3 linked regions of the Diceros bicornis minor genome follow. The protein of the gene in region 3 interacts with the protein of the main gene of each other region in a biochemical or structural test. Links are inferred from orthologs where the notes say so. Each region holds a gene or a part of one and is shown on either strand. Other genes may lie near its edges. The genes, in order: OCRL, BICD1 and RAB6A.

The links.
Region 1: the proteins of RAB6A (region 3) and OCRL form a complex in vitro, tested with the Homo sapiens proteins (2 studies listed by BioGRID and IntAct, with this or other methods). The link is inferred for Diceros bicornis minor from reciprocal best matches to the Homo sapiens genes RAB6A and OCRL.
Region 2: the proteins of RAB6A (region 3) and BICD1 form a complex in vitro, tested with the Homo sapiens proteins (3 studies listed by BioGRID). The link is inferred for Diceros bicornis minor from reciprocal best matches to the Homo sapiens genes RAB6A and BICD1.

What each region holds. Positions count from the first base shown.
Region 1 is NC_080781.1:118,336,881-118,346,801, reverse strand, and holds the start of OCRL (inositol polyphosphate 5-phosphatase OCRL), read right to left. Parts: upstream 5,107-9,921; 5' UTR 4,969-5,106; coding exon 4,930-4,968; intron 4,671-4,929; coding exon 4,591-4,670; intron 1-4,590. UniProt on the Homo sapiens protein: Catalyzes the hydrolysis of the 5-position phosphate of phosphatidylinositol 4,5-bisphosphate (PtdIns(4,5)P2) and phosphatidylinositol-3,4,5-bisphosphate (PtdIns(3,4,5)P3), with the greatest catalytic activity towards PtdIns(4,5)P2.
Region 2 is NC_080756.1:31,698,976-31,708,896, forward strand, and holds the start of BICD1 (protein bicaudal D homolog 1), read right to left. Parts: upstream 6,422-9,921; 5' UTR 5,894-6,421; coding exon 5,681-5,893; intron 1-5,680. UniProt on the Homo sapiens protein: Regulates coat complex coatomer protein I (COPI)-independent Golgi-endoplasmic reticulum transport by recruiting the dynein-dynactin motor complex.
Region 3 is NC_080746.1:57,118,723-57,128,643, reverse strand, and holds the start of RAB6A (ras-related protein Rab-6A), read right to left. Parts: upstream 6,092-9,921; 5' UTR 5,648-6,091; coding exon 5,578-5,647; intron 1-5,577. UniProt on the Homo sapiens protein: The small GTPases Rab are key regulators of intracellular membrane trafficking, from the formation of transport vesicles to their fusion with membranes.

The sequences.
Region 1 (9,921 bases), on a different chromosome or scaffold from region 3:
ACAAAAAAAAAAAAAAAGGATATTAGTAGTGATCAGTATCTGAATACCCACACTGTTCTATAGCATAAAGAACATATAATAGTCTATGACATAAAAACAGCTTACAATCTTAAGAGCATGAATTAACAGTGCATACACCTTCAGAGCATGCATACCAGAGCGAAGAACTAATAGCTAGTTGTGAAGTCCACGAGGGCAGGGACTATGGCTGTCTTTTCACCACAGGATTTTTAGCACCTAGCACAGTGCCTGGCACATAGCAGTCCCTCAAGTTTGTTGAATAAACGAATTAGAAATTTCATAAATTAGCTTTCCCATTATATTTCCCTGGCTTTTAACAAAGAATGGTCCTATCTCTTCAAACAAGTATACAAGTCATGGAGGAGTAAGGGGAGGTTCCCAGCCAGCTGCATTGGTCAAAACAACCCCAGTGACCAACAAAGTAGCAGATATCACCAGATTGCCTTTATAGCCCTTGTGCTTTTACTCTGGTTTCCAACTTCATGCTGGTATTATTAGGTAAACATGACTGAAGAACTTGGCCCCTCAGTACGAAATGTGAGGCTTCTAAATTCCTATGTACTCCTGAAATATTAATTTTCATTTACTTCTTATCCTTAGTGGCCAGGAATCAAGATATAACCTACGGGTAAATAGCCTTTCTGAACATCTCCTAGCTTCCCCCAAATCAAGCACTCTTCAGGTGGTTCTTTTTGCCAGGAACACTCTTTTTTACTTCCTGAGACCCAACTCAAATATCACCTCCTCTGTGAAGCTTCCCCCAACACCCCAAGCAGAACCAGTGGGCCTCATCCTCTTTGCTTGCCCCTCTAATAGAGTACTTACACACTCCATTATAGTTATATTTATTTCCCTCACAGATTTGAGCTCCTTGAAATCAAGGACCCTATAATATTCAGTTTTGTCTCCTGCCTAACAGCTGCTCAAAATACAGGTTGAATAAACAAACTAGGTTAATCAAGCTATAAACAGAGACGAATTTCTAAATACAACAGTTCAACTTCTGACATTAAAAATGTCATTGTTTTGAATCATTTGATTTCTATTTTGTTGTCTTTTGGGTGGTTTATTGTTTTAGCTTTTTGAATTTTTTTTCAAATGTGTTAACTTTGAAGGAGATAACCTGGGGAAAGGAATTGCTTAGACAGAACTAAGTGAAATAAGAGTATTAATGCTGTCTTTCTGCTCTGATCCAGCTTGCCTAATCTGCTGGGTTTATATTTTAAGGTGACTAGAGGAATATGGGGCAGACCCCTCCATCCTGCAAAGTTCCTTAATCGAGCAGTCTTATAAACTCAGATGGAGACCAGAAACTAGATAAAAGGCTGATAAAGCAAGGGTCAAGGAGGAAGAATTTACTTTGAAGAAAGTGAACACAAAACCAGTATAATCTCAAAGTAATGTAGACTAACAATGGTGCTAACCATTAGTAGTAAAGCTTCAAATGGATTGTATTGTTAAAAACCATTACAAAACAGACAACATGGATGGACCTTGAGGGCATTATGCTAAGTGGGGTAAGTCAGACAGAGAAAAACAAATATTGTATGATCTCACTTATATGTGGAATATAAAAACAAACAACCAAACTTACAGATACAGATTGGTGGTTGTCAGAGGTGGGGGATGGGGGTGGGCAAAATGGGTGAAGGAGGTCACAAGGTACAAACTTCCAGTTATAAGATAAATAAGTCATGCGGATGTAACGTACAACATGACTATAGTTAATAATACTGTATTGTATACTTGAAAGTTGCTAAGCGAGTAAATCTTAAAAGTTCTCATCATGAGAAAAAAAAATGCAACTACATGTGGTGATAGATATTAAACAGACTTACTGTGGTGATCATTTTGCAATCTATGCAAATATTGAATCATTATGCTGTACATCTTAAACTAATATTATATGTCAATTATATCTCAGTAAAAAAAAGAAATGCACCCTTCCCCCCAAAAAAACCATCACAAAACAAAGATAAAATGTGAATTTAAGTCAATTCTACAAGTATTTATTGAATATCTACTATGTCTTAGTCACTAAATAAACTGTAGCAAGAGAGTAGGGCTAAGACTAAGTATGCAAATTCTACCTAAATGTAATCATCCCTTTCAGAACAGAAAGATGAAAAATAATAGGTATATGGCAAAACAATGGAAATCAGAATTTGGTAGCTGTCAAACAGAAACGAGTGACAAATTGTGAATGCAGACTCAGCATTATCCTTAGGAAATACTTTGATTTGTTCAAGGAAGGTTAAAGATGAAACAATAGGTTGCATCATAATCCATTTTCCTTGAAAAAAATGAATGTTAGTGTTTGATTCCCTGTTTCCAAAAAACCAATTTTTAAATGTAACGGTGGTCTCTCAAGTAAATTTCTCCTATGGTTGATAGCAGGAACCACAGAAGTAAAGATTAAAATAGGCTTCAAGTTCTAGGATAAAAAAGCCAAAAGTAGGGCCCGACCCGTGGCTTAGCAGTTAAGTGCACGCATTCCACTGCTGGCAGCCCGGGTTCGGATCCCAGGAGCACACCTATGCACCACTTGTCAGGCCATGCTGTGGTGGCGTCCCATATACAGTGGAGGATTGGGACGGATGTTAGCTCAGGGCTGATCTTCCTCACAAAAAAAAAAAGGCCCAAAGTAAAAATGTTCTGGACACTCAAGTCAGAGAAGGCACCCAAGAGACAAGAATTTCAGGATTATAGATGGTACGACAGTATTAGGTGACTCCGATGATTTCAAAAGAAACTTCTCAGACAATGTAATCCTGAGATACGTTACATGGGTTCAAATCTCAGCTACGCTACTTCCTAACTGTGAACAAGTGACAACCTCTCTGTGCCTCAATGTCTATATCTAGAAAAGGAAGTTGACGATGATATTACTATTTCACAATAACCCTCACATGAGGGTTAAATGAACTAACTCATGAAAAGTGGTGAGAAGAATACCTGGCACACATCAAGCCATTAAGTGTTAGATGTTGCTGTACTCCCATAACTTACAAAGAGTTGGAACAAAAGAATTTGATTTCTCTGTGAGGAGGACACAAATAGTCAGGAGAGCTACCACCCTTTAAAAGTTCTAGTACAAGAGTCCAGATAGAATGAGGTATTTATCTCAAGGCCAATTGCTCACTCCCTTATTAGCTAAACAGAGTTCCAAATATACTGAGCCAAGGGACCAGATCCCAAGCTATGGTCATATCAACAATGTAGCTATTTTATTTAATCCTCATAATTTTGATTTTAACAGAAGAGGAAACTGAGGCACAAAAGTTTACTGATTTGCCCAAGGGTCCCATCTCTCTATCCCATTCTAGCCTTTGGAAGCCGCAGCGGTGTTCCGCTTTTCAATTCACTTTTCTGTTAAATTCACTTATATTAAATGGGTCTTTCAAGGTTTGATGAAATCTGGGAAACATAATATGAGTTTCCCACATCAACAGAACTGACCAAGCAGGACCTAGGGAAGAGCGACTTCACAGAATCAGTTGACATCCAGTTAGAGGCACCAAGAGTCTTAGAAAAGGGCAGGATAGGCCAGTGGGAATTTCTTCTGTGTAAATTAGACAGCATAGACACAGACTCAGTCTGGACAAACTAAAAGCGGGAACCGAGAAAAATTGTTTTTAGGCAGAATCCAATGTTGGAAGATGACAGGATTTAAGTGATCAACAATTTTTAAACTCTGATGTCAAGAAACCAGTGAACAACCAAAGGAGGTGGCTTGGGCACACAAGGATAGGGGCCTATGATATATAGTGGTCACCATGGATACTTTTAAGATGAGGCATTAGTTGCAAGGGAGTGAGATCAGTAACTATAGTGATAGCTTATCAAAATAATCTTTTGATCCATCAGCCAACAGTATTTACTGAGCTCCTATGTGCATGCAAGGCAGAGTGGAAGTTAACACACACTGATAAAATGGCAAATGTCGTTTATATTTCTACATATTTCATTACTTTTTCTAACAGTCAAGTCAATAAGTGAGCAGTTACTAGCCTACACTAAACCATTACTGAATTAATGAATATGCCTTCAAGCAAGTGGAATAAAGGGGTTGGGAGAGTGGAGGAACCAGTTGAATGGGGTTAAGAAAAGGCACTAACATAAGGTTAATGAAGCGTTTCCATAGCACTTTTACTTTTTGTAAACCACTTTCACATTTATTATTCTCCCAGTTAAAACTCCAAAGGCTATAAGGTAAGGCAGTTAGTTAATGTTTTCATTTAACTGATGAGGACACTAAGGCCCAGAAAGCTTTATTGACTTGCCCAAGGTTACACAACATGTGTCAGTTGCAGGGGCAGGAACAAAGAACCCAGGCTTCCTGCTTCCCCGTCCATTGAGTCTTTCCACTGAGCAACACTGCCAGGAGAAATCTAGCAGCGTGGAAGTTGGGGACAAAGACCCGTGGTTAAACCACTTGCACTTCACACCTTGGCCTGAACCTGTTGCCCGCGCGGCCTCAGTGGGAGGAGGGTGGGTGGCTTGTCGCGGTTTGCGGTTGCGAGGTAATGGCAGGCTCCCCTCCTCTGTGGGAATCAGGTGGTTACTTACTCATATTGCCCGTTCCTCTGGGCTAGGGTGAGAGCGCAGGGCTCCCGGAGAGGACCCTTCATCTCCATACCCTCGACAGTATGCGGACGCTAGTCAAGGGTCTCTTCTAGAAGCTCAGCCAGGGAGGGGTGGCGCGGTGTGGTGTGCAGGGAGGCTTTCGCCCCGCTGCCCGCCCCGGTCCCGGTCCCGAGGCACTGCCTCCCACGCCCGCCTCCCTCCCCCGCTCGGCTCGGCCTCTGGGCCTGACCGCCCCCGATCCCTGCGCCGCGTTCCGCAATCTCTCCGACCCCCACCCCCCACCCTGCGCGGCCTCCCCTCCCCCTTCTCTCGGGCGGATACGGCAAGGGGCTGGGCTCCGACCGGGAGCGGCGGCTCCATCCGGGCGGCCTCCGGGCTCAGCCGGACTGCGGACTGCGGCCGGATCCGACGACTCTGCGTCCCCCGTCCTCACAGCCACCCGCCTCGGCTGCGCGTCGTGTGAGGAACGGCTCCGCGCCGGGAGCCGGGAGCCGGGAGCCGAGAGCCTGACCCGAGAGAGAGCGGCGCCTCGCGCCCCCGCCAGTTTTCCAGGCCGCCGCGGATTCCGCCCCCTGCGGCCAACTTGCGGAACTGCAGCGAGAGACCCGACGGAACGGGGGCGTCTCAACCATGTCCAGCAAGGAATATGTTTCAAATGCTGCCTGTGACACCAAAATTCTTCTGGGGACTTTGAAGATTGCCACAGAAACAAAACACAGTCATACCTATGAGGGAACTCAAAGGTGTTGGGCCAATAAGACCCACATCATCCATTCAAAAAATCCTTATTATGGTTATAATGCACCGTGCTGGTTATCCTACCTCTCAGATGTTCTCCCCTTCCTCTTCCTTTCACCCGCTAAATCAGAAAAGTCCTCAAATCTCAGACCTTTACCCTTCTTTTGCGCCCCCTCTAGGTCACCTTTCTTCCTCTCTCCTAATTTCTCTGTATCCAATCAGTCAAAAAACCTTGTTAATATTTTCTTTGGAATTAATTTTTGGTTCCTTGTTTTCTCTCCATTGACACCGCCATCATTTTGTTAGCCTTTGTGATATCCCCTTTGACCATTTTACATAAGAATATGTACATAAGTTTGGCAGTGGAACTTAAGCACATGATTTATGACATAAGTCATAAGAATAGTCTTCCCAGAGTAACATTTCAATTGTGTTTTTCATTTGCTCAAGAATCTACAATGGATTAGCTATCAAGACTGATTTTAAACCTATAGTAATTAAGACAGTGTGGTATGGAGCTAGGCAGACCAATGGAATAGAATACAGAGCCGCAAAACAGACCCACACATATATGGAAAGTTGATATGCAGCATATGCAACATTTCAGATCAGTGGGGAAAGAGTGGATTATCCACTAAATGGTGCTGGGACTCTTGATAATCCATATGGAAAATTATAAAATTAGATCCCTACCTCACACCATAGAGGAAAAATTCAATTCCAGGTGGATTCAAGATCCAAATGTAACAAGCAAAACTTGACAACATTTAGAAGTAAATAGAATATCTTTATGAACTTGGAATAGGGAATGAAAATGAATAGACAGCACAAAAATAAAGGAATCGATTGATACATTTAACTATATTAAAATTCAAGACAACATAAACAAGTTAAAATACAAACCATAGACTAGTAGAAGATATTCTCAATGCATATAACTGACAAACATAGCCTGAGGTTCTACACTTCTTGCCATCATCACTTTTCTGACATCCTCTCCCACCACTCTCTCCAACTCATGCTGCGTAGTCACACTGCTCTTTGCTATTCCTAGGACTTGCCGAACACATTCTTGCCTCAGGGACTTTGAACATGCTGTTCATTCTGTCTGCACTCTCACCTCCTTCAGATCTTCGCTCAAATGTCACTTTCTCAGTCAGGCCTTCCTAGACAAATTTATTTAAAATTGAAGTTTGACAATCTCCTTTCCCACTCCCATGCACACATGCTCCCTATCCCTCTTCCCTGTTTATTTTTCTCCAGAGGATATATCTCTATCATTGTTCTATTTTATTTATCAATTTTGTTTATTGTTTACTTTTCCCCACTAGAATGTAAGTTCCATGAGGGCAGGGATTTTTGTCTGTTTTGTTCATTGCTGCATTCCCAGTGCCTAGAACTGTTCCTGAAACAAAGTAGATGCTATAAAAATATTGATTAAATGAATGAATTAGTATCCAGAACGTGCAAAAACCCCTATAAATCAATGAGAAAGAAACCTAGTAGAAAAATTGACAAAATATATGAGTAAGTAATTCATAGTCAAGGAAACCTAAATGGCCAGTAAAGACATGAAAGGATGCTTCACTTCATTACTATTCAGGGAAATTGAAAATTAAAACCATGAGATACCATTTTGCAACCATCGGTTTGGTTAAAAATTTGAAAATTCAGACAACACCAGGTGTTGTTGAGGATGTAGAACAGATAGACCTCTGATCACCGCTAGAAGGAGTGTAAGTTGGTAGAACTACTATGAAGAGCAATTTGACATTGTATAATAAAGTTCTATAGGTAATACCCTTCAGAAATTCCATTTCTAACTACAGACTGGGCAAAATTCTAACTGTTGTGCACAAGGAGTCATGTAAAAGAATGTTCATTGCAGCATTATTTGTAATCTCAAAAAAATGGAAGCAAATTAAATGTCCATCAGCAGGTGAATGGTTGAATAAATCATGGTATTCATGAAGTTGAATACTATTTTAAAATTAAAATGAATAACACAAGCTATATGTATTAACAGAGTTAAATCTCAAAAATATAATGTTAAGCATAAAGAGAAAATTGCAAAACATGTACGGTATGCCGTTTATATAAAGTCTGAAAATATTATCTGTTGCTTATGGCTACATAGATATACATAACAGTAATAGTATATAAATCATGAAAGGGCATGATCATCACCAAATTCAAGGAGAGGATTGAGACTGGAGAGAGGAATACAGGGAATATCAACTGTATCTGTAATATTTATTTCTTTAAAAACAATCTGAAAATTGATGTTGCAAGATTTGATAGAACTGGGTGGTAGGTACATATATGGGTTATGTTATTCCATGTACTTTCCTGCATTTTAAATTGTTTGTAATCAATGAAAGTGAAAAACAAAGAAATAATACGTAGAGGAGGGTTAGCTGTGTCAAATGCTGAAAACAGGACAAGGAAAATGAGGATTGAGAGACTTTCTTTGGATGTGTCAAGGAGTTCACTGGAGACTGCTAAATAAGTGGTTTCAATAACTGGTGAGGGTAGAAACAAGATGACAGGGAATTGAGAAGGGACTGTATCCTGAGGAAATGGAGACAAGAGACCACGTATTGAAGAAGTTTGGAAGCAAAAAGGAGTGAAATACAATTTTAACTAAATTAGTTAGAAGGGTTAAAGAGAAATTCTTGACAAAACTTGAAGTTACTCTAAAGCAACGGGAAGGAGCTAGCAAAGAGGGGGACATTTAAGGTACTAGAAGAGGGAAGCAGAAAGGTTGCAAGAAAAATCCCTCAGTAATTGGGAAGGACAAGGATCCAAGGTGCAGATGGAGGAATCAACCTTAGAGAAGAGGAGAGGTAGTTCTTCGTCCAAGTCTACAGTATCCCCAGCACCTGAAACAGTGCCTGGCATATAGTGGGGTACTCAAATATTTGTTGTAAAGCATAAGAGGTTGTGAAGACATGGAAATGTATTGAGGTGAGGACACTAAAAACTGTGGAGAAACTCTCACAGGGTAGTTGATGATTTTCTCAAAAAAAATTAATAAGTGTATGTAATAACAATAATAATAATCCTGGTGGCTAACTGAATATTCATGTGACACTCTCCTCATGGCTTTACATACATACTTTCATTTAATCCTGACGAAATCCCTGTAAAGTAGTAATATTATTGTTTACACTTTAAAGATGAGAAAACTGAGACTCAGAGAGGTTTAGCAACTTTTGCCCATTAGCTAGTAAATGGCAGAATCAGGATTCAAACTTATGTTTGTCTGACTCCAAAGCCCGAGGATTTTAACTAACACATTACGCTGTTCATTCAATATTAACAGTAGTAAGAGTAAGTGTTTATTTAGAACCTTCTATGTGCCAGGCACTATGGTAACTGCTCTACCTGAATTATCACATTTAATCTGATGAAATTGAAGTTAACAGTAGAGGGTTTGGGAACTTGAATAAGGCAGAGAAGGAGAGAACAGGCACTGTTGGAGACTGACAGTGAATCCAGAAAAGTTAATAAAGGGTTTTAGAGCAACAGAGAAAGCCCACCTGGAGGCAGATGGTGTGCATTTCTATAGTGGTCCAAATCAGCATGGGTCTGTAACTTTCTCTGGCAATGCTTGGCAGATGGAAAGCAGGAGTAGAGAAAATCTACCAAAAAAGTGCATTAGGCTTGGGAATTAGTACAGCAGGCAGAGAAGAATGTCATGGGGCGAGGGAGTCTAAAGTGGTGTTTAGGATGCATTGAAATAGCTGACCCTGGAGTCTAAGTTGGGTAAAGATATGTATCCCCTCAGCCTAGGGCCAGCAGAGGGGAGGAAGGCAAGCTTGGCTAATTTAATCATTTCCCTGGGCCTGATTCTGTGGCAAATTATTGTATCTGCTTTTTTGGGATCACTTCAGGGACTATGCTTACTTATGTGCTTCTGTACATGTTAAGTCACTTTTGTAAATTGGCTAAAAATTATTTTATTCACAACTGCTTTCTGATTTACCTGTTGTTCTTAGTGATACCACTATTTAACTAGTCACCCAAGTTTGAAACTTGAGGTTTATCCTGAACTCTGCTTCTCCTTTACCTATGATATCCAATAACCCAAGTTTTGTCAATTCTATAGTAAATTTTTACCATATAGTTCTGATCATTCTCACCTATCATCATCAGACGGTATTTTGCCTAGCCAAATAAAGGTCTTATGTCCTATACTTGTATTTACACATACAAGAGACATCCAATGCAAAGAGTTAATGGTCACTGAACAAAATTAAAATGAATGAAACTCTAGCTTCAAGCAAACACAAGTCTCACCACCTTTACCACCACCACCACCACACACACACACGTGTGCACACACACACGCGCACATGATTAAATGAGTGCTCAGTGCCTTTTATCCATTAGACAACTATAACTAAGTGCTTAGGACTTATTGGCTTTTTAGAGACAAAATAAAAAATTGAGATCTTAAAAAGAGACTATAAAACACTAAAAGAAAATAAAAAACTCAAAAATAATAATAATTTAATTAAATGGCTACAAAATATAACATATCAAAGTGATTAATTATTAAATTTCATATTT
Region 2 (9,921 bases), on a different chromosome or scaffold from region 3:
AGAGAATACTCACCAGAGTGTTAGCAACAAAGAATTGGTGGGAGAGGAAGGGGAAATTATTAATCTGTACATGCTATTACGTAACTTGGATTGTTGCCATAAACTGTCCTAATTACACAATGGTAATTTTTAAAGAGCAACCAATCTCTCATGACAAAAAAAAAGGAAAAAAAATTTTAAAGCGCTAATGGAATTTCAAGTATCAGTCAGCCAGGAGTGAGTGCTGTTGCTCCCAGCCCTCTTAACCTAGGAGGTCAGCAAGGGCTAGTTTTCCACTTAGGCTGCCCTCGGGGTCCTCACTGTGCCAGCCCAGCCCCTTGTTTGTTCCTTTGCACATCTAATTCAGCACGTAATTAAACTGACATTGGTGAAAACATTGTTCAATTGTTCATATCTTCCATATTCCGGAAATTATATTTGAATAAAATGACAACCAATTGCACAAACTATTCATTTGTTTTGTTAAACTGAGAGGTATTTGAATTTATCACACAATTTACACCTCCCCTCACAGAAAACATGAATTACAAGGACTCCTATAACTTGGCCATCAACCTTCCCCTCTAAAACTGCCCTTACCCCATAGTACCTTCCTTTGTGAATGGAACCACTTCTATCCATCCTGAGAAGATTCTCGACTCTACTCTTTTTCTCACTTTCCACATCCAGTCACATCCAACACCATGTTCCACTGTACACCTCCTAAATAGCTCTTAGGTTTGTCGCCTCCTCACTAGCCCCACTGCTCCTGCACTGCTTTCAATTCACCCTCTGTGACCAACACCGTGACCTTCTAAATTGCACTTGTGGCTCTGGCTGAGATGATTCACCCTCTGAGGTAGTATGGTGCAATGAAGAATGGGCTTCTTCCTAAACCAGGTTTCACCATCTAGCTTTGCAGCCTTCAGAAGAATCCTTAAGCTCTCTAAGACCTACTTTACTTTTCTGTATAATTCGAGTAATATCTACCTTGTAAAGGATTGTTATAAGAATTAGAGATAAGGCATGCAAAGCGCCTTGTCCTAAACGGAGCTTCGTACATAGTTCAATGTTTTATTATTCTTATTATTTTCTTATCTGTAAAAATGGGCAATAAGCCTCTAAGTTACTTTGAAGGTTAAATGAGATAAGATGTAAGGCGCCAAACACAGTTACTAAGTGTCTCCTTTCATTTCCTTTTAATGGTTCCCCATCCCCAAGAAAAAAATGTGGCCACTGCCACTTTCTCAATTTCATCTCTTGCCACTTGACTTTACATCCCTTCTCCCTTAGTGTAATGAATTATTTAATAGTAAGACTATGCACCTGTTCATGCCCTCCTGCAAAGCCATTTTTACACGTACAACCTTATGTGTGAGAAAGTTCTTTACCATATATTTCAACATGCAAGTAATTATCATATGTTCAAATGTGGAATGCAATATCCATAAAGTACAAGCGTATTTAAGAAAATGATAGTGTAGAATATTTGTAAGCACAAAATTCTGAAAAAATCTTCAAACCCTGGCTGCAATCATTCACGCAAACATGGTGAATGTCATGAAAGACTCTAAAATCTTGCTAAATGATATCTGAGAAATAGCTCTGTCAGAGATGAAATCTTGAGTTGAAATAAAAAGAAGTGATGATGCAAGTTAGAGCAATTGGGTCAAAAAAAAGAAATGTGATTGAAAGTCATTATGTTTGTTTGCTGAGGTTGTTTGTCAAGTTTCCAAAAGCATTTGTTGGTATATTTTAGTTTTTTAATTAACTTGCTAATAAATGTGATAATAAATATAATCATTTCTTCTTTAAAAACAATAAGAGAGAAAAAAATACTAGCTTAGGTAAATAAATTAAGTACTAACTTTCTCTATGTTTATTCATAGATTGGAAAAGAAATCCGGAGTTCTTTTTCCCCATATGATTTCATGATTTAGAATTTACAGAGATAAAGAAGCTAATAATCTTCCCAAGCATATAAGGAAAGAAAATTAGTTCTGTTTAAAGATGAATCCAGACAAGTAAATGGCTTTCATCAGGTCCCTAATGTGACCATCTCTAAAAGTGTATAAGTTCAATGTTTATTTCTTGAATGATGCAACTACAGCCCTGAAAAAGCAAAAATTTGTCTTCAGGAGGAGAAGCTGCTCTACGCCCAGAAAGTGCCTCTTCCGCAGCTGATGTCTATCCTTGGCGTCAGGGATGAGAAAATGAATTGAAGATTCTTAGTACATAGTTTACTGTAACCTAGCTGCAAAACTTTCTAAAGTTGTCACACAGATATGTTTTCTAAAATGCTACCAGGAATGCTGAATCATTCGTTTCTAAGGAGATCCTTTTAAACTTTACTACATTTTAAATTTCAAACATTTTTTAAGTAAAAAAAATTTAAATTCGGAGTATTTTTTTAACGTATGTATATTTTTAGTTTTCAAATTATTTTAGAACCATGACTCTTCTTCAGACACTATCATGGCCTGGGTGACAGACACGTGCTGATTTACACATATCCCAAACTTACAATCAGCCAGGCCAGGAACATAACTGGGCAGGGGTGCCCCAGTCACCGAAAAGCAAGCATTATTTGTGAGCCCATAAAACCGTGGTCAAGTATTCTAGTGGATATGTTGCTTTGTCCAGCTGCCTAAATATAACATAAAGGAGAACATTATGATGATGTCAGAAGTCATCCTTTTGTCAGATCCTAAGTACTTTTCTTTCGAGTGTGTTCTTTAGGGAGCAGAATTACAGCAGTCGTGTAGGCACAGGGCAGAGCCCTGAGTGACAGCAGGCCAGGCCAAAAAGCATCCAGACTGAGGGAAGACATAACTAGAAAAAAATTAATGACTTCATCATCCTGATTTTGCACATCTTCAGGCAACCCTGCTCATTTGTATTATTGTCATAGTGGTACATAGTCTGGGAAGGAGGGCAGCCACATGGTTGGGTGCTGACTCTCGAAAATGAAATGACCTGTAAAGACTAAGCTGTGCTGCTACTCTGCAAATTACTAATGTCCAACTTGGACTTAATACAGTGTTTCTCTGTTGACATTTCCATAAGTGATCCAATTATTTTTAAATGGATCCTATTTGTTGAAAGAGCCTATGAAAAAGCCAAAGATTTCTTTTATACATGGCTTAATAGATATAATGCAACAACACTGTTTACTATATATACCTGAAAATGAACAAAACTTCCTTTTGAAAAATCAGAGCACTCACAAAACGTGTTTTTCAAAAATGGCTTCTACACGATATCATCATTGGAATATCTTAGTGTGCATAATTATTTTGGATTTACTTTTCAAACAGGAAGTATTACTGAGACTGATTTAGCTCATTGAAATAATACTCCCAACTAAAGTATATATCATGTTTAAAGGATCAAAATAACAGGTCTCACTATCAAATCATCAGGTATAATGATTATTTTATTACCCTAAAATATATTTTTATATAATTGTATAAGCCAATTAGGGACCCAAAATTGAATTATATTTAGGCTAAATGCAACTCAAAACACACATGTAAACAAGCACCATTTGGTAAAAATAATCCTGCTAAATTTTTATTAACCTCCTGTTATATAAAACAAAATATGCTTCAAATTTTTATAGAAAAAATTTATAATTGGTATTTGCATTATTCCGTAATAAGAAACCAATGTTATACTATTCCTACAAAACATTTTTTCTCTTTTTTCCCATTATTGCTGATGAAAGTAATACAAGTAGTTTTTAAATACTAGTCACTTCCCATACTTCCTAATTTTCTTAGTCTTTCTCTGACACTAACCCATATTGACTAGTGAAAGCTTGATAAAGGCGTGTCTTCTTCCAGTATAAATTTATTATTTCATTAAATATTTACTGCTGGCTCACTATGTGCTAGGCTTTGTATTAAAGACTTTGGATGCAAAGTAAATTAAGACAGATTCCTTGCCTCAAGAGCTCATGGTCTAGTAAAGGCAAAAGAAATTGCATTAAGGTTTACTATTTAGGGCAAGTGCCAATGACACAGAAATATACCTAGAAGAGTTGTTTAAATCAAGCAGGAAGGTCAGTTAACAATTATACTCCAGTTCATTAAACTAAGTCTACCTCCTTTATCAAGGAGGTGATGGCTTAACACTGCCTGGTTTACACTTCCTCGTCTTGGTAAAGCAGTGCTGACAGGTGCAGACAACATCAAAATATCTCTGAGATTTGCAATCACCATCCTGTTTCCTAACTCCACAAGGTTTAGCATCATTGAATTTAAACATATCAGCCTAAGACCTAATCAAAATTGGAAAATACCAATAAGTCTAGCTGTTGTTAAGAACAGACATGTGCATGGTAAGAAAAACATGAGCTAGAAATTTACAGCTTGATACACAAAAATCAGATTTCTAGTTGGAGTTTTTACCATATATTTATTTTTTGGCACTTAGGCATCAGAATAAAAACAAAATGAACCTGAAATTATAAATGCTTACCATTTATGTACTAAACTAGAAGGCAAATTGATTAGATATGTCATAAATCATGCTTTTTAACTGTAACAACACGAGACACCCCCCAAAAAAACAGTTTGAGTACGTTATAAGAAAAACATTTCTGATATTATTATATACCAAATTAGAATTAATATTTAAAATGCCAATATGCACCTAAAAATAAAGACTTGCCACATAGAAAAGCAGTGTGTACATTTAAATTTATAACTGGTTACATGTTACCCATAGTGCCTCAGGAATCAAGCAAAACAGACTGAGTTCCTTCAACAATATGTATACTCTTATATGAGTGCTTAATAGGAAATCAAAGCATATTTATTATTTTCTTCCAGTACACTAGCCAGTCTTTAAAAGAAGCCAGATACCAAAAGACTAAAGAGGACAAATGTTATACATGGCCCATGTGTGGTGCTCTGGTTTTATAAACATAGTCATTTCAAACAGAAGAGCCTCATTTGAAATGCACAGCTACCCACAAATTTGATATACACCATTTTTCAGACCATTTGTAGGGGAGTTCAATTTTCCCTGATCAGGGTGACCTTATAAGTCTTGAGCAAGGCCCAGCCTCACTCAAAGGTGAAATCAAGGCAGAGGTGAAATCACTCAGCAGAGTTGTTTTTCTCCTGCAGCCTGATGACAAGAATAACTCAAGCCAGGGAGAAGGAAGCCTGCCCAGCCTTTGTCAATTGGGACTGGCCAGGAGTTCTAATCACAGTTCTCTCTCTCATCAAGGAATAGTTACCTTCAGCAGAAGGCTGAGGCACCACAGATTATACATCCTGAAACTGCGGGTCCTCGGCACCAACCTACCCATCACCTTTGTGGATTACGGGATTGTCACTGAAACCTGGGTTTGAAATAACAGCAGTTTTGAGAAGTTTGAATTATACATTCCAGCCCAATTGAATGTCGCCTTAGAGTGTTGAGTCTCGAAGACTTATGAATCTCCCTCCCCCACAGCCTTAACAGCCCTTGCCTCCCAAATTCCAGCTTATACATTCATTTCCTGGGCAATTTTTCTCTTGGGGGAAAAACAATGGACTCTTTCAATCTTCTGTTATCAACAAAGGGCTCTAACATGAAGAAACAGGCCTTTCAACAGCATCCTTGCGACTTCTTTATAAATGATGAGTGGGCGTTGGGGGTGGGGGGAATGGACGGGGGCCGAGGAGGAAAGAGGTGACAGGCAACTCACCTCTTTCAGCTGCTCCAGCTCCTGTTTGAGGCTGTCATACTCAGCCTCCAGCTCGTCATACTGCTGTTTGAGGGTCAGCTTCTCTTCAAGCACCACCAGCCCGTACTCGGCAGCCTGGATCTTCTCGTGGGTCGTCTCTGTGAGCTCCTTGGTCAGCCTCTCTATCTCAGTCTTATAATGGTCCACAGTCTGCAATACCTCTTCTGCGGCCATAGCCCCGGTGGATGGAGGCAGGAGGGGGTGATGGGGTGGGGGAGATGGATGCAAAGCAGGCAGGGGAAGGGAGAAGGAAATGGGGATGGAAGGGTAAAAATGGAAAAGAAAAGTGTGGCTGGATGAATGAGCAGAGCAATGCCCTGACGCTCCTCTGGCAGCAGCAGCTACAGTGCCAGAGAAACTGACGAGAAATGCAACATGGAGAACGCAGGGAGAGGATCAGGGGCGAGGCGGCAGCTGCTGCCGCATGTGTCCTCTGGGCCGGCCCCTGCGTGCGGTCAGCAGCCGTTCGGCATGGCCTGGCCTGCGGCGGCCGGGGGCGGCGAGGGGCTCCGGATTCTGCTTATTCAGAGGCGCCCGGCCGCCATGTCTCCCGGGCAGCGTCACTGCAGTCTCCCCAGGGTCTGGCGCGCTCGCTCCACCTGCTCGCTCTGGCCGTGCTGCAGCCAGTGCGGAATGATGCAGTCTCGGGCCCGCTCCCTCCCGTCGCGCCTGGCCGGGGATCCGAGCCGGGGGGCGGGGAGGCGGATGGAGTCAGCGCGGGGGAGGAGGCAAGGATCAGACGGAAACATCCCCAGGAGCCTCCCGCCCGGCGCGCGGGCCCCCGCCGCTGGCTGCACCGGGGGGCGCGCGGGACGCGCGCGAGGAGGAAGCCTCTGCCCTGTCCCGCTCGCCCCGGGTGGAAGTTTCTCCCAGGGCTTGCCCTGATGGACGTCCAAGCCCTCGAGAGTGGCGGGGGCGCCCCGGCTCTCTCGTTCCGACGTGAGCCCAAGCTCAGGAAACTGTCTGGAATCGGCGCCTTCCTCAAAGAAAAGCAAACAGTAACTAACGCGCTCGGGACCCGCGCATCCTTCTTCTCGCCCCCCGGGCTCGCAGCGTCCTTCCCTGGCCTCCTGCACCCAAACGCTGTGCTTCCACAGCCATCCAGACGCGCCCCAAGGCGCCGGTTTCCGTCAGGTCTTCCCTCTCCCTCCCCCGCCCCCTTTCCTAGCTTGGCCTGGTTCACCTCACACTCTCACCAGTTAACCTTATTACCCCCTCAGGACACTCTTTGCTAAAGATCCCTTGCCCTCATCCACGCTTTCTGTGCCCAGTTTATCACAAGATCACTCTCTCTACTCAGAAAAAGATCTCTCTAAAGCATGCCCCCAGTAAGCCTCTAGATACCATTATTTCTTGCCCCAGTAGTTCTACTCCACGGATTCTTCAATAAAAGAAGACTGCATGCAATTCCCTATATACAGTATCAACAATACCCTACAATAAACATTTTTAAAATAATAAGAGCTAATAGTTCTTGAGACCATGTGCCAAGCATTCTTCTGAGTATGGTACACGCATTCTCTCCCATCCTAACAATAACTCTGAGGTAGGAACCCTTATCCCCAGTTTACAGGTGGTGAAAGAAAGGCACAGGGAAGTTGAGTGATTTACCCAAAGTCAGGCAACTCTTAAGTGGTGAAGGCAAAATGTAACCTTAGCTCCAGAGCCCTAAACTGGATCAGTTATGTTGGCTTCACCTTCATTCATTACTAATACAAACCCAGCAACTAAATATTATATGCTTGTAAAATGACCTCTTTAATCAATGTAAAGAGTGATGATGAAGTATCACAAAAGGAGGTGAAGGCAAAGTCAGAGGAAAGGAGAACAAAGAATGGAGACGAGATGAGACTAGAGAACAACCAAGAGGAAAGGAAGCAATAGGAATGGAGAAAGAGTAATATCTGTGTAACTGGGAGGCTGTGGGAGCAACAGACCAAGGGTGTGGCCAGTTCCTCCCCTCTTTCCTGGGTGGCACTTATGACAGAGCTGTTTCTTAGTGGCCAGGAGGTGTTCAACACACACACATACACACAGACACACACACACGCAGACAAGCTTTCTGAGTTAGAGAGCAGGACTCACTTCTCCCATCATTTTGTACGTGGTAAAGAAAAAAGACAATTGCTGGTGGTGTGGGAGGAAGAGCAAATGACAATGACCTTACAAAGCCTTGACTAATTAGGCTCTCTGGATGTGATTTTCACTGCCTCTGGAAACAGACAAAAAAGATTCCTTCCAGATGCTGACAATGACAACAGAATATTCTCTTGTGATTATCTGATCTATAAATAAATGAATGAATGAATGGAGAACACACTTGAAACTTGCGACCACCATGAATTCCAACCTAGCAGAGAAGCGGGGATGATAATGACCACATCAGTCCACCTGTGCTGCCTTGATCTCACACTGCAATTGACAAGCCCCTTCTGTGTGCTCCTGTAGTGCCCATCCTCTGCACAATGATGAATGACCATGAACTGCTGAAAAAGAGATGAAACTTGTAATTGCAGTTAGCTAAACTGCCTTCTTCCCGGTATGCACCTGGTCCTCACTCCACAAAGTGTAAACACAGCCCTTCCCAAGGGATCCAAACACCTGGAGCAGATTGCCTGCGTCTCCCTTTCCTTTGGACAGAACTAAGAATGGAGTTTGCCTCTGTGACTTTCCTTTCTCTGTGTCCATTGTCGCCCGTTCCCTATGCTCTATTCTGCCCCATTTTTCTGATTTATACACTTTTGTTAGTTTATTCAGTCTGACTTCATTCAGACGTGTTCACTATTCTAACACTTTAAGATTTTGCTGAGTACAACTTTGATCCTCTCTGTGTTAGTATTTAACTTGATGAAAGTAAACTTATCTCCTTGTACACCGTATTCTTCCAGTGCTGCACTGCATACTCACCTATCTCTCTCTCTTCATATATGTCATACATATCATATATACATACGTATATGTCTGTGTGTGTAGATATATGTGTGTGTATATATATATATGTATCAATGACAAGTATCTAGAAAATAATTTCTTAAACCATTCCTAGAAGCATGGTCCCCTCATATTTCTTTATCCTAGCAGCCTCCAATCACTTATGGAACTTTCTTACATACAAATATTTAGGAAAAATTGTATTTTGTGACCTAGTACCTCAAACAAACCTCTCACCAACTTTGTCAGCAAGAACGTTGCTTTCTCTTGCTCTCACTCATTCATTCATTCATTCAACCGATGTTTAGTAAGTACCCATTATGCCCTAGGGACAATAGTGGGCATTGTGAAATCAATGACCAATAAGATGAGAGTGGTCAAGGGTTCCTGACCGTAAGGAGGGACATCTCCTCCCTTATGTTCTGGGAGGGACAGACAAAAAAACAAACTACAACAACAAAGATTAATATAATAATTCCAGATTGTGGCAGTGACAGGCAGGATACAGCATAGTGATTAAGCACACAAGCTAGTCTGCTTGGGTCAAATCCAGCTTTGCCACTTACTGGCCCTCTGTGCCTCAGTTGCCTCATCCTTAAAGAGGGAATAATAACATCATCTACTAGTGAGATTGTTGTGAATAGGACATTATTTGACACCTAATAAGCAGTATGTGTGTTTGTTTTTACAAGTTTTGAAGAAAAACAAGGATAAGATTGAGGTTGAAAAAAAGAAATAACAGGGCTATCAGTGGAGAGCTCTCTGAAGCAGTGATATGTATCACTCTTAGTATCTAAGAAATAAGAAGGAATTGGATATGCAAAACGTGGGGGAAGAGCTTTCCAGGAAGATGGACAACATGTGTAAAAGCCTAAGGCAGAAAAGAGTGTGGCGAGTGCAGAGAATGAAAATCAGAGGCTGAGGATTAAAAAGCAAAGGGGAGATGGCCTGAGATGACACTAAAGAGACAGGCACCACCGGAGAGAGAGTCAAGGATTGTGCCTGCCTTGCAAGTTAAACTAAGGAATTTGGATGTGGTACACTTGAAACTAATATAACGTTAGATGTCAATTATATCTCAACTTAAAACATAGTCTTTTTTTTTTTTTCTTGAGGAAGATCAGCCCTGAGCTAACATCCATGCCAATCCTCCTCTTTTTGCTGAGGAAGACGGGCCCTAAGCTAACATCTATTGCCAATCCTCCTCCTTTTTTTTTCCCCCTTTTTCTCCCCAAAGCCCCAGTAGATAGTTGTATGTCACAGTTGCACAT
Region 3 (9,921 bases):
CAGTGCGTCGGTGCGCGCCCGGGATCCGAACCAGCGAACCCCGGGCCGCCGCAGCGGAGCGCGCGCACTTAACTGCTTGCGCCACTGGGCCAGCCCCCCTGGAGATTTTTAAGAGTAAGACGAACTTAAGAACGGTCCAGTTTAACCGTCACAGACAAGAACAACCTAAGGAGATCCAAGAACTAAATCAAACGTAGTATCCTGGATGGGATCTTGGAACAGAAAAAAAACATTAGATAAAACTAAAGAAATCTAAATAAAATATGGACTTTGGTTAATAATAATGTATCAATACTGGTTCATGAATTGTGAAAAATGTACATGTTAGATGTTAATTACAGAGGAAACTGGATGTAGGGTATACGGGAACTCTGTATTATCTTTGCAATTTTTCTGTAAATCTAAAGCTATTCTAAAACAAAAATTTTATTTAAAAACAAAAAAAATAGAATGGGAAAGCTCTCTATGTGCTAATATGAAAAGATATCTAGGATATATTGTTAAGTGAAAAAAGCAAGAAGTGGAATAAAGTCTGATATATCTTATGTAAGGGAGAATAACAAATTGTATTCATATTTGCTTGTGTCTGCATAAAGAAATCCCAGAATATACACAAGAAACTAATATATATAATTACTAACGGAGGAGGAGTTGGGGTGGGGAACGGGGTCACAGGGACAGGGGTTGCCATTTTTCTCGGAGTATACCTTTTTATATAATTTTAATTTGTGAAATGTGACTGTATTATCTATTAAAAATAAAGTTAGAGAGGGAAAAAATGATCCATTTAAAGCCCTGAGAGAAATGGATTAGACTTCTCAAAGTCTCCTCCAACTTTAGAACGCTCAAAAATTTCCATTCAACAATGCTTCAACTATTAATCATATTTATAATGTGCCTTCCCTGAAACTCCAGGCTTCCCTGTCACTTCTTTGTACCTTTTAACTCTATGTTTCAAAGCAGCTGCACTCATCACATTATATTGTATTAGGTATTACATATTTCTTCCCTGATGAAATGTAAATTTCTTAAGAGTAGTTTTCAGTAAACAAATCCATTTGACAGAGCAGCAGTTTTCAGTAAACATTTGTTAATTTAAAATATTTACTGAGCACTTCCCATGTGACAGGCACTCTTCTAAATACTTTACATTTATTAACTAATTTAATCTTCACAATAATTCTATATGATAGGTCCTATTATCTTTATTTTATAGATAAGGAAGTTGGCATAACGTGGTCAAATAATTTGCTCCAGGTCAGTGGCCAGTGCTACCATATGAAACTCAGACTCTGCTCTTAATCACTAGCTCTACTGTTTAGTTTTAAGGCTTCAAAACTAGATATGGAAAACATTCCCCTTGATTGTCCTAACTTGCAATATGAAACTGCAAGTACAAATGGCTTTATATCACCTAACCCAGCAGTTCTCAAAGGGTGGTCCACCCACCCCCAGGTTCTTTAACACCTGTCAGGTGGGGGTCATCGACTACCCTCCTGGAGGTCAAAACTATTTTCATAATATTAAGATGTTGTTTTGTTTTTTTTCACTCTCCTTCTCTCATGAGTGTACATCACTCTCCTTCTCTCATGAGTGTACAGTGGAGTTTCCCAGAGCCTACATGATGTGTGCTATTAGAACAGACTGATTGCAGAAGCAGCTATAAGAATCCAGATGTCTTCTAGTAAGTCAGACATTAAAGAGATTTGCAAATATGTAAAACAATGCCACTCTCTCACTAAATTTTTGTTTGGAAAACAGATATTTTTCATTAAAAATGATTATGTTAACATGTAACAGGTTTAATACTATTGTTTTAAATGAATTACATATTTTAAAATTTTCTCAGTTAACTTTCAATTACAGTAAATATTGACATAAACCACATAAACAGAGCTCTTTAGGAACCTCAACAATTTGTAAAAGCATAACAGGATCTCGAGAAGAAAAAGTTTAAGATCATGGAGCTAGCCAATCTAAACTATTCAGTACTCCTAGTCTCTGACACTAAGACATTTTTTCCCTACCTAGCATGCTATAATTCAAAAGAACTGATGTAAAAAAGGTAATATAAAGTGAAAAAATAAGCCATAATAGGCCAAAATGTACTTCCCCCTGAGATTACATTTCCTAATTTGTAACCTGTAACATTTGTTTGTAGTAATATCTTCTACTGTAAACCATGAATAACATTCCTAAAAGTGCCTCTGCATTTCAAGACAATAGCCAGAGGTAGTTACAAAAGAGATTCCTCAAAGAAACATCAGATTCAAATTGTGTATTTCAACACTCCTTTGTTAAACCACGAATACTACTGAAATATAAAGAAAGCATAAATTTATAGGAAGATTACCAAGACTGATGTCATTAACTCAATCTCAAGTTTCCTGTACTGAAACAACCCATCTTCGTTATTGAATACAGAATCTTAAGTTTTTGATATGCTACATAAAGCAGTCTACCCAACTTCAAATCACTTCCAGGAACATGTCTTTAGTATCATTTGACAGACTTTTAGGTGCTATACCAATAACAAATAATTTAACGATAGCTTTAACAAGACAAGACTAATTTTGCTCAACTCAAAAAAAAAAAAAAAAGTGCAAAATCCTGGTCAGTCTTATTTTTTTTTAGTGAAATGGGTGAGGGCTATAAATTATTGGGTTCCCTGCCCCTACTCTCAGTATCTAGAGTATCCCTGCATACAATGTAAGTAGAGAATGTTGTTGTTAAACTACTAATTGCATAAGGAAAAAATACAGACTTCACCATAGCAAAAATTAATATAGGTTACTAGCTCTGGTTACTAGTAGATTCAACCATCATTCACTCACCAAATATCTGAGTACATACAACAAGCCTGACACTATGCTAGGCACTAGGGATACAATGAACAAAAAAATAATAGTTTTTAATCTTCATGGGACTTGCATTCTGCTGTGGGAAATAGACAAAACACACAAAAAATAAGAATAATAAACGTGGTAAATGCCATTAAGCAGACGACCATGGCTTTGCCACAGATTAGTCTTTGAAAGCTGAACTGTGGAATTCTAAAACCAAAAAATAAATAATTCATGAAGAGTTACATCAAGATGACATGGATTCTACAGACCTTTCCTAATGCATAAGAAAACTACAGACACTGCCCACGAAAAAAGAGATCAATCTTTCACTGTCAAAGCTATTGGACGGCATTACTTAGCAATATAGCAATCTCAAAAGATAATTAACCTTACAGTTCCACAGAGTTAAAAAGCATGTAAATACAATCCTAAAAAAACATTTAAGAGGAGCCTATGAAGACATGACAACTAAATGTAATGTGGTATCCTGAACTGAATGCTGAAACAGAAAAAGATAGAAACTAAGGAAATTTGAATAAATTATAGACTTTTTTTAATATTGGTTCATTAATTGTAACAAATGTAAGATATTAACAATAGGGGAAATCGGGTGGGGCTATATGGGAACCCCCTACATGATCTTCTCAATTATTCTCTAAATCTAAAACTGCTCTAAAGAACAGTCTATTCAAAAAAAAAAATCTAAGATGGTTTCAGGAATTACGCGGGGGGAGTGCGAGTTAGTTAAGACAAAGTAAGAAATGAGAAGCCAAAAAACTCTGCAATGTGAATTAGAATATAAATGCTCAAGAAATTCAAAGGAAACCTACAGATACTTATGATCTCTATTCACACTAAAATTTTCCTAAGACAGAGATTAATGCATTTTTTCATGAAAACTAAATAGCTCTGCATCACAACATAAGGCAGGCAATAACATTCCCAGAGTGCACAATAAGCATTTTAGATCCTATTTATCAATAATGACCAATAGGCTATATTTTATGTATGGCATTGTCCTGAAATTGCCATAAAATATCTGGACCAGGATCAACTTCATAGGTCTTACTAAGTTACTTAAAGAAACAAGTTTATACTTCCTTCAGGAAAATTCATAAGCAAAGAGACTATATTTTTCCTTGGTAAGGGGGGTGGCAGGAAAGATTATGTATGAAAGGAGAAAAATAATTTCTCAGTCCAACTGGAAGCAATTTTGCAACTAGTATTAACCCACTTTAATGCCATAGAAATTAGTATAAATAGTTCAAGACACTAATAAAAGCTCTTAATTTATATCAATCATCTTCTTTCCAACCAAAACAAATAACGAATGCTTTCTATAACCTAACCTAAGACACCTAGTAGGTAACTCAATGTTGGATGATTTGGGAGGAACTCATCATCTCTCAATGTCTGAATTTTAAAGATGGTCATGAAAAGTGTGAGAAAAACAAAGGAGGATGATAATCTCTAAATTGTCGAGTGTCAAGTTTGCATAATACTGCAGAAAATTGGAATTACCACAAGAAGTAATTTTAGAGACAGCCATTACAAAATTAGGATCTTGTATCTAATACAAAGTACAGCGACAGTAGAAGCCTGACCAGATAAATGAAATAACAATTTCACTCATTAGATACTACGGAATATTAAGCATAAAAGAATCATTTACTCAAAATGATATTACATATTTAAATCTAATTTAGATAACTGGATGACAAATCTATTCCTACTCTACTCCATTACTCCCTAACCCCAAAGGAAATCCTACAAAACAAAGATGTTCGTTATTCTCAAGCCTTCTCTCACAGGAATTCTAAATATATAATTGGAAAATACTCAAGAAGAAATGGAATAATTAACATTTCCCCAGTAATTCCTGTTTGCACCACCATGAGGAGAATCAGACACTGATTCATGTTGAAACGAGAAAAAGAGAGGTGAGATGTGAAAAATTCTAAGTAAAATGATCATGACATAGCATCTGGCAGAGATCGGAAAAGCATCAACACTGCCAAAAGAATTGTCAGAGATGAAAGTCAAGAGAAGAAAACGAGGTTTTACAACAAGCACAGCCTAACCCAAGAGGCAAAAATCGCCACCGCCGCCGCCCCCAGCCCCCCAACTACTCCATCCTCCAAATCAGATATATCTCCTCTACAACTCAGACTAATTCCCCACCCAGGTGAAAATCATCCCAGAATTTTCTAGGACCCCCCACTTTCCCCCTTCCATAAGATCCGCACTTCTCAGGGCCGAGCCTCTGGGGAAAACAACGCCCAGATCCCACCCTCCTTGCCCAAGGTTGAAGAGGGCCCGTTCTCCGAACTGGGGCTTCCCGGGGTGGGCTCATAAAGCTGATGAACTGGGATAAGAGCAAGGAAGAAGGGTGGGGATCAAGGAAGGGGGCTGGGGGTGGTGAGACGACGGAGACGCGAGGAAGAAAGGGATGGACAGGAGGCTGAGGCTGGGCGGGGTGAGGCCAGGGGAGGGCAGAACCACGGGAGAGGGCCGGGCTGCGGGGAAAGGAGACGGCGAAGTCGGGGACGGAAGGGTCAAAATCCGACCGGCGGATCAAGGCGAAGAGGAGCCGGCGACCACGGGGCAGGGCTGGGGGTGGAACGCCGCGTGAACGCGAGGCCGGCGGGGAGCCTCCGCGAACGGCAGGGCCGCACTGGGGGCGGTGCGGGGAAGCCGGCCAGCTGCCAGAGTGGGGGAGCCGCGCACTCACCGCTCTGCTCCCCCAGGAACACCAGCTTGAATTTCCTCAGCGGATTCCCGAAGTCTCCGCCCGCGGACATGATGGAGCCGGAGGAGCTGCCGCCGCCTCAGCCCAGAGACCTCCCGGACCGACGCTGCTCCGACCGGTTGATGAAAAAGGCGAGAGGAAGGGCGGGCGCCGAGCTCTCTCGGTCCCTGCAGGGCCCGGCGGCGGAGCAAGGCTGGAGGGCAGGACTCCTCTCCACAGATCAGCAGCCGTCGCCGCCGCCTCACCGCGGAGTCGCCTAGCACCGAGCGAGGCCCGCGGACGTGAAGGGAAGGAGGGCGGTGTCGGAAGCAGCCAGGGGTGTGCTCGGGATTCCCAAGGCTAGCGCCGTTCCCGTCTCAGCGCCCGCCACGGAGCCTGGGCTGCAGGGAAGAAGGGTGGCGGAGCCGACCCGCAGACGCGTCTGGGACCTCTCACACGCAGCGCCTCAGCTCCCACAGCCGCCGCCGCCGCAGCCCAACCTGCTGAGTGCGCGAGCCTCTGGTGCGGCGCGGAGCGAGCCCGGGCGCGAGCCTGCCGCCCAGCCGGCCGCCGGCGTGCAAGCGTGCGTGCGTGCGCGTGCGCGTGCGCGCCACAGCCTGCGCCTTCCTGGTTTAGCCTGCTCTCCCGCAGACGAGGGCAGGTTACGTTTCGACTCGCGTAGGGAGAAGCGAGGAGGAGGTGGGGCGGGGCCCGCGGGAAGTGAGGGGTGGAACAAGGAGCATTAACGTCACTTACCTGATGAGCCAATCGGAAGAGGCCAAGGGTGGGCAGCGATGGGAGTGAGGTGGCAGCGCGAGAGCGCGCGCGGCACCAGCGCGGAGGACAGAGTTACACGGCGGCTGCCATGGGAAGTGTGGCGCGTCGCAGTCTGAAGGGAGAGGCAGGAAGGTCGGGCGGAGGCGGGGCCAAAATGGAGATGGTATTGACCGCAGCAAGGTGTGGTGTGGACGGAGGGCTATAAGGTGTGTTACTAGGTTACTCTTTCCTGAGCCCTCAACCTAGCCTCACATTGCTTAGATCCGCCCTTCACTGGTTCATGCACCCACCTTCTCCATCTTCTTTTGTGTGTGTGTGGAAGATCAGCCCTGAGCTAACATCCATGCCGATCCTCCTCTTTTTTTGCTGAGGAAGACTGGCTCTGAGCTAACATCTATTGCCAGTCCTCCTCCTTTTTTTCCCCAAAGCCCCTGAGTAGATAGTTGTCCGTCATAGTTGCACATCCTTCTAGTTGCTGTATGTGGGACGCGGCCTTAGCATGGCTGGAGAAGCGGTGAGGTGGTGGGCGCCCGGGACCTGAACCCCAGGCCGCCAGTAGCGCAGCATGTGCACTTAACCGCTAAGCCATGGGGCTGGCCCATCCATCTTTCTTATGGTAATTCCTCACACGATGTCATAGTAGATATATTCTCTGCTCCTGCTCCCAGGAGTTTCATAACTACCAGAAGCAGGGCCTCTATGTTTTTGCAGATGAGGAAACTGAAGCTCAGAGGAAGGAAATGACTTACCAAATCCATTACAAAATCCAAAGAAGCCATGAAGCGGAACCCAGGTTTTAGTCTTTTTCCTCCATCGAACCTCTGCAACCTCCTATTGATAAGCCTATCCACTTCCCTGGCCTGACTGCTTCTCTTCTGTTACCAGCCTTTGTTCCTCAGATATTGACAACTCTAGGTGACGCCCACCTTCCACTGTGCTAGAAAAGGGTTTAGACATCATGTAAACCAAAACCCTAATTTCACAGATGGTGAAACTGAGGCCCACGTAGGAAAACAGCTTTGCGAAAAGGTGACACAACAAATTAGAGGTAGAGCCTGAACTTGAGCCCAAGTGTGGGGAAGGGGATATTTTAAAGATCACTCTGCCTCCTAAAGCAGGGTTTCTGAATCTGCTATGGGTGGACCTCCCTTAAATTAGACGTCTGAAACATGTGGATTTTTCTGTAGAGAGGATCGGTAGCTTTCATCAGATTTTCAACCCAGTTCATGACCCAAAAAGTGAAGGTTAATGTCACAGCCAAGAGGAGCTGAAGGAGACGTGACAACTAAGTGTAATGTGGATGTAACTAACATGACATGTTAACTAACATGACAACTGAACATAAGTTTTAAACTAAATGGGATCCTGGAACAGAAAAAGGACATTAGGCAAAAACTAAGGAAATCCGAATAAATATGGGCTTTAGTTCATTACAATATATCAATATTGGCCCATTAATTATAACAAATGTATCATACTAATGTAAGATATTAATAATAGAGGAAACTTGAGGGGGTATATGGGGTCTTTCTGTGCTGTCTGCTCAATTTTTCTGTAAATCTAAAACTTTTAAAAAAAGTCTTAATAAAATAGAAATAAATAAAAGGTTAAGAATCTCTGAATTAGAGAATTTGGCATCCACACCTCGCCATACTTCAGCCACACCTCACCATACAATGGGACAGCATCCAAAAAAGTAATCCCTGCCTTTGAAGAAGACACTTTTAAACACTGGTATCAAAAATACTTCCCAAGATAATAAAAAATAAGTCCTTATGTTTATATATAGTGCCTTACCATTCACAAAACACATTTATATACATTTTCTCATTATTTGGGGGTTATTATTTACTTAGCTGTAAAAACGGCGGGATCAAACAAGTGCCTTCTCAAAACTGGGAATGAATTGCTGAATTAGAATAAATTAAGGGGAGAAATAGAGGTTCTCAAAATATCATCTATTCTGGCCTATCAAGACAACTGCTATATCCCCAAACCTCCTCCTTTATCAAAATTTACTCACTTCTGGTTCCTCTCAGCCAAATGGCAAAAGGATTTTGGAACATGTATCTAAAATGAAATGGTAAAAAACTGAGTTCTTACATGGACATTAGATTTTTTTTTAAATATTTGATTTTAAAAGTAGCTTGTCAGGTCTGGTAAGGCCCTCCCTACCAGTAACCCAGAACCCTGGCACACACGAAGAGCAACCAATACCAAGAGACCATTTAAAAAGAAAAGCTCTTGCAAACAAAAGTGAGTGGCTATTTTTTCTTTCTGATGGGTACCAGGTTTTCATTATGCTTCCTGAAATAACCTTTAAAGTAACATCTGAGGATTGGAACTATAATTACCTTGTACTTCCTGCAGAACTTTATGAATCAATTCCTCCCTGCTGCTTTGGTCTCTGTAGTTACCTAGACAAGTGATGCTATTCCTGTCATTTTGAAGAGAGATGTGATATAATCCACCTCTTACCTCAGATGTTTTAGTGTTTTAAGCTGGCATTTTGCATTGACACATATACAGCCTCATTCTCCTCTGAAGCTGCATTTATATCTATTGAGTACTCTGTGTAAATCATATGTCTTGCCATCAGAAATCTTGTGGTCTAAAAGTTGCATATTAGTGCTGTCTGGTTCATCAAATGGAGAAATTACTTGGGATAAGGAGAAATTAAAGAGGCTTTTTTCAAGGGTGCTTTCACCAACATCTTCACCTCTGTGATTTACACACACTTTTCTCTTTGCCTTGAATACTTTCCCCTCTCCCCCTCCCCAATTCCTACTCATCCTTTAGGTATCATCTTTAAAAAGTCTTCAAGAAGATTTCTCTGCTCCCATCCCCACCAACAATGTAATGCCTGTCCTCTCATTGTACTCTATTCTTCCCCATCACTTAATTATTATTAATTATCAGTCTTCTCTGCCTGACTGTAAGCTCCATGAGGTCAGAGCTCATGTCTTGTATCCCCAGCACTTGCAGAGTGCTTGCTATATAGTAAGCATGGAACAGATATTTGCTGAATAAATGAAATAAGTGAGAGGGATCATTTTTAGCTTTCTTCAAAAGATGAATGAGATTTGGGCATGTGGAGATGGAAAGGCAAGAGCATTTGGGAGAAAGAGAACATCACTTAAAATCACGTTATGTAAGTTGATACTACATTCCTTAACATCACTTATGAAAAAGATGCCCAGAACAGATCTCATCACTAAAAATTGGCAACAATGGAAGAAGACAGCTTTGGCAGCTGCAAATCAAAATTACCTAGACCAGTTTTCTTTGACCAATTTAAAAGGGATGTTAATTTGAAGCCTTTGAGTGTGTCTGGGAATCTACCACACAGAAATTATAATTACAGCCTTTCTTTCAGCCCTGAGAGACACAAAGCTTCTTGAGGGAAGACTGAGATTTCATCTTATTCCTTGTAGAAGACATTATCGGTTGCTTATCCAACAATATACACACAAAACACACACACACTTCCACGATGTATATTGGAAATGACAGATACTTTTCCAACTTCCCTTCAGCCAAGCTATAAGCACGTAACTTGATCTGAGCCGG